2 linked regions of the Kluyveromyces lactis genome follow. The protein of the gene in region 2 interacts with the protein of the main gene of each other region in a biochemical or structural test. Links are inferred from orthologs where the notes say so. Each region holds a gene or a part of one and is shown on either strand. Other genes may lie near its edges.

The links. The genes of interacting proteins can lie anywhere in the genome.
Region 1: the proteins of IVY1 (region 2) and YPT7 form a complex in vitro, tested with the Saccharomyces cerevisiae proteins (2 studies listed by BioGRID). The link is inferred for Kluyveromyces lactis from reciprocal best matches to the Saccharomyces cerevisiae genes IVY1 and YPT7.

Annotation. Positions count from the first base shown.
Region 1 is NC_006040.1:109,831-112,047, reverse strand, and holds YPT7 (Rab family GTPase YPT7), read right to left. Parts: upstream 1,265-2,217; coding exon 641-1,264; downstream 1-640. UniProt on the Saccharomyces cerevisiae protein: Ypt/Rab-type GTPases are key regulators of membrane trafficking and intracellular vesicular transport.
Region 2 is NC_006039.1:1,304,007-1,307,011, reverse strand, and holds IVY1 (Ivy1p), read right to left. Parts: upstream 1,912-3,005; coding exon 574-1,911; downstream 1-573. Other genes in the region: KLLA0_C14993g (DODA-type extradiol aromatic ring-opening family dioxygenase), read left to right, coding at 1-462. UniProt on the Saccharomyces cerevisiae protein: May be required for vacuolar fusion. Overexpression leads to fragmentation of vacuoles, missorting of the vacuolar enzyme carboxypeptidase Y (CPY) to the exterior of the cell and accumulation of multivesicular bodies inside the cell.

The sequences.
Region 1 (2,217 bases), on a different chromosome or scaffold from region 2:
AAGAGATAATGAAATAGGCCCGTAAACCAATATTTTAGTTCCAAACAATAGCCATACCATCAAAGATATACGTATATTTAAATATATATGTATATATATATATATTATCAAAAGGGTGACTATACTAGAAATACGGCTAGCAAGCTTAGACGCAACCAGATCGAGGTTTTCGACTGGTATGAAGTTTGTTCTTGCATTTCGGCAATTACCAGAGCGTATTGAAGATTAAACTTTTCGGCACGTGTGGCATGTGTCTGTACAAATGTTTATATAAAGTGCGCATATCAGAAACAGAAGTCGGGGTCAAAGACACCAAAGAGGTGTCAAACAAAACGTGTTGTGCAGAGTCTAATCATGCTAATGGTTACTCTAATATCAACTCGAGATTTAGATTACATTACATTAAGACTAATTACACGAAGGAGCGTAGTTTCTTTAGATTTTCTATGTAGGTGTGTTAAATTAGATTTGCTTGAAGATTCGTTCCGAGATGTATCTATACGGTATGGGAACAATCCAACGCTAATACGCGTGTTTTCTGACGGTTAGCGTGAAGAAAGTAAGGGAAGGGCAAAAGACAACAAAATCTATTTGTTCCCTTCCCTTTCAGTCGTATTTGATGAGACGCATGCTTTATCAGTTAACAGTTACATGAGCTAGGTTCTCCGTCCAACTGAATATTGATAGCTTCGCTTAGGTCGTCCTCATACGCATCCGCATCAGATTGACTTTGTTGTAATGCGCTGCGTGCGATTTCCTCAAATGCGTCCTGGACATTAATGGAATCCTTGGCACTAGTAAAGAACAGAGGTACGTTTCCCAAGGATTTAGCTTGCTCCTGCGCAGATCTAGAAGAAACCACTTTTTTCGATTCTTCTACGTCAACTTTATTAGCTAGAATTACAAATGGGAAGGTTTCTGGCGAGGAGACGTTCGCATGAACCAAAAACTCATCTCTCCACGACTTCACATTATCGAACGACTTACCATTGGTCACATCGTATACTAACACGCAACAATCAGCACCTCTGTAAAATGCAACACCAAGCGATTGGAATCTCTCCTGACCAGCAGTGTCCCATACTTGCATCGTCGCAACCTTATCGTCATTCACAATGACTTCCTTGGTAAGAAAATCTGCTCCTATCGTAGCCTTATATTGTTGAGAATACTTGTCGTTGACATATCTGTGCATCAAAGATGTCTTACCAACACCCGAATCACCTAGAATGATAACTTTTAGAATATTCTTCTTCCTAGACATGGTAATTTGTGACTAAAAAGTATGAATAAAGGTCCGAAGGTATACCTTGTATGCTCTTTTTCTTTTCTCCTTAAATTTGAAGATAACCTATGATGATTAACAAGGACAAACTATTCTATCGTATTTTTTTCCTTAGTATATAAAACGTTCACCAGAATATCCAATATAACGTATTTCTTATAACGAGGTGTAGTTTGCTCGATCACTGCAGTTGTCTATGATCAATATTATTCGTTTTTTAGCCAAGAAAACATCATTAATAAAGAATGTAATGTGTTATCGTTATTAACAAATAATTACTCTGAATTGAATAATAAGTTCATCCTTTCATATGGATTTCAATATTTACTTGACTGAAAACCATAAAAGTCAAATGTGTTGAAGCAGACACTGAGTTTATTACCCTGACTAATCAGGGTAATGCACCACGATAAGCATCCCTGCATCACACTCGTTGCGAATACTTGCTTATTAAATGTAGACAGAAAAAAAAAATGTGTCAGCTCTTACTAAAGGGAGAGGAACTTTATTGCAGGACCCGATGAGAGCTTATATAAGATGAGTAAGTTGCAAAAGGATCAGCACTCCCTCAGAAATATCAATGTTATTATACATCATTATACATTATTATACATTTTGAACATTTGTCATTGTTCGAAAGTATATTTTCTTGTGTCTGTCTTAAGGTTTTCATCTTAGGCTAGTCATTTGTATTGGTAATTCGGGGTAAGGCATTGGTACTTTGATTTGGATTTTAAAGTATATAAAGGATACGAACTATCGATTAGGTCTAAAATTTTGCAAAATTGGAATTCAATTGAGTGGTAAAATTGTAGAAGTCATTCTAAATTGTATGCTCCAACAATTAAGCTTCAAGTATAACTTGTCAACACCTGTGTTAGTTCTGGTTATATCGATTGCAGTTTATTATTTATCACCTAGCTCATCGGTCT
Region 2 (3,005 bases):
TTTCCTAATGATGAGCTAGTGCAACATAATATTCCATTGGTGCAAGTTTCATTGACCCGTAACGATCTCGATTTTGATAGTCAATACAAATTGGGTCAAATTCTTTCAGAATATCGTTCTAAGGGTGGTATAGTTTTAACAAGTGGAATGAGTGTCCATAATTTACGTGATATGGGATCTGCTGGTAGCAAACATTACAGTGAAGAATTTACGTCAGTTCTCAACGATATCCTATTAACGAAGCAGCATAATAAACTGGATAAATTCAAGGCGTTTTTTACTGATGGTAAGAGTAAGGAGCTATTGTTTAAAGCTCATCCAACTTTGGATCATTTCGTGCCTATAATTGTAGCACTTGGCGCTGCGGAACCTACAGAAGACGATTTAAATGTTAAAGAATTGTACAACAAATGCCAAGGGAGCCTTGGATGGGGCATATACCAATTTGGTGATCTGTTATGACTCTGTTTTTTTTTATCATTTTATAGTGTTACAAAATTACATATATTTATTCCCAATTATGTCAAAAACATTCATCAATCATGATCCGCTTTACATTTTTGGATACCTCAATCACAAACTGGGAGAAATAATACTTGATTGATCGTCAATATTCAGTTCACTGGTAGATTTCATAACATCATCAGTCCCTAGTACAATATCCTTAGAATCCGAGTTATTTACTTCTTTGTTATTCGAAGCACTAGTTAATGGTAAAGAAAATGAGTTATCGAAATTATCATCCCCGTCGTCATTTTCTGCATCTTCAGAGTTATCAGTCCCAGATTCTGTCTGATTTTCGGAGTGGAAACTAGGGGAGTTGCTGTTGTTATGTTCATGAGCGGAGTTATCATCTTTATCTTTATTTTCATCTGTCGTTACCATCACTTTCGCTGGTGATTGCAATCGCCTAGATCCGTTTAGTAGAGACGCATCAGATGAGTGTGAACTATTTTTCTTAGGAGTGAGAGTACTCGACCGTGAATAACCTGGCGAAGATGCGCCAGATAGTTGGGAAAGTTCGTTGTCATCGTTTTCTTCTTCATTACCGGTATTGAAAGGATCATCAGCGTCTATTATCAAGTTATCTAATCCTCCACCGGACCAACCTTTTCTTGCAATATTTTCACTTATCTCAATCTGTGCTCTTGCCAATGTAGCTATATCTCTGAGAACTGCCTGACAAGTTGATTCTACCATTTCGTATGACTTTTGATAATAATCGTGTTTAAGCATTTCCAATTGATCCAACTGCTGTTGTAATAGGGACAAGTTATCACGATACGAAATCAAATTACGTATTTTCCTTTTCGCTAAATTCATATTATACCTTTCTTGCAACTTCAATTTAATACTTTGTTCCTTGAACAGTTTCTTGAATTCTACTTCTTCCTTCTTGAAATCGGTCTCTAACACTTCAACTTTCGCATTCAAACCTTTCGTCACCACTTCCTCGCAACAATTGGAGATGATTCTATCATGGTTTGACACAAGATGGAACAAACCACTAGCATTGACAAATTTGTCTGCTGTAAGGTCACTGCACCCTTTTAAGCGTGCCATATCTTCCAATTCAAACGCTATATCTGTTGAGAACTGAGCTAACTCGTTCAACTTCTGAGAATACTTTGAAATTTTATCCGCTAAACTTTTTACACCGCTCTCAGTTTTCTTAATATCTTCCTTACTAACCAATGCTCGAAGATCAGTAATACTACAGGTACTTAGACCAGACCTGATGGAGGACGGTCTTCTCATGTTTCCAGTTTCGGGCGACGCTGGCGATGGAGAAAGAGAGCCAGTATTGGTTTTGTCTTTAGTGCTATCGTTTGAATTGTTATTAGATTTTCCATTCATCATTGAATAAAACTCAGAGAGGTGTGGAGCATACCTCTCTGGCGACACTTCCATTATTCAAAGACAAGAGTTCGCAGAATTACCAGGGAAACAAACAATAATTGGTTTAGCAAATTTAGGAAAAAGAATGGGCCAGCCCAAGAAATCTCACTTATGTTCGAGTGAAGTGTATCTTTGCTTAATCGATATCAAGAACAAATGAAGTAAAAAGTATACACGTGAGGAAAGACTTCTACATATGTAACCACTATTTTATTCATTGTTCTGTTCTTCATTTTAACTTTCATATTCAATTCTTACGACAAAGACTTCTTTTTTTCTGCCCCGAGAGTAAATGGGTAATACACCAATCACGTGATCAACAAAACCATATTGAATGAAAAAGGGGAAATTAGCTCAGTCGGGATTTGAACAGAGGCTGTTTTTTGTGGATGATGTAAAACCTGCATCTGGAAGCAAATTTTGTGCGTCTTACTATCGCCTTGCATAAAATACGGCCTACGGCTGTTCCAGGAAACCCCAGAAATATAGGGAGGACAACGGAAAAAAGAAAGCGGCCGGTGCATTAATGTTGCGGAATCTGGGGTAAAAGGCAAGCAATTGATGACTGACAAATGTAAATGAAAATGGTGGTTGTATGTAGTACTTTAGTTGTGCGAGATCTTTAGCTATTGTGGGGTTTACAGAGTTACTTGTGCTGACTGGACTGATGGGGCTAAGAAAATTGGCATGTGTTTGTTGCGGTTTTAAAGCGAGAAGTTGATCCGTTCTTCCATGTAATCTCAGAAACAATCGGAAATTTGACAAAATTGGTAAAGCAGTGGATAATTTTGGGAAAAAAACTGCATATAAAAAGGGTTCGATTATTTAGGTTGGTGGGAACTTTATGGTTTATTCTCGGAGGTCAAATCTGGTATGACTACTCCCTCTTTCAACGTGTTACACCGAATACAGAGCAGCTTAGTTGTAGTAGAAATAACTCTCAACGTAATATAGTTCTTTTCCGCAGTTATATTGAGGTTTGCATTTGAAATATTTGCCCTGTTATTTATTAGGCTCCGTGTGTGTGATTAGAGAATAAGGGGTTATAGAAAAATATACACTACCTATAATTGTAGACTAAAATCAACGACCACACGTTCGCTAGC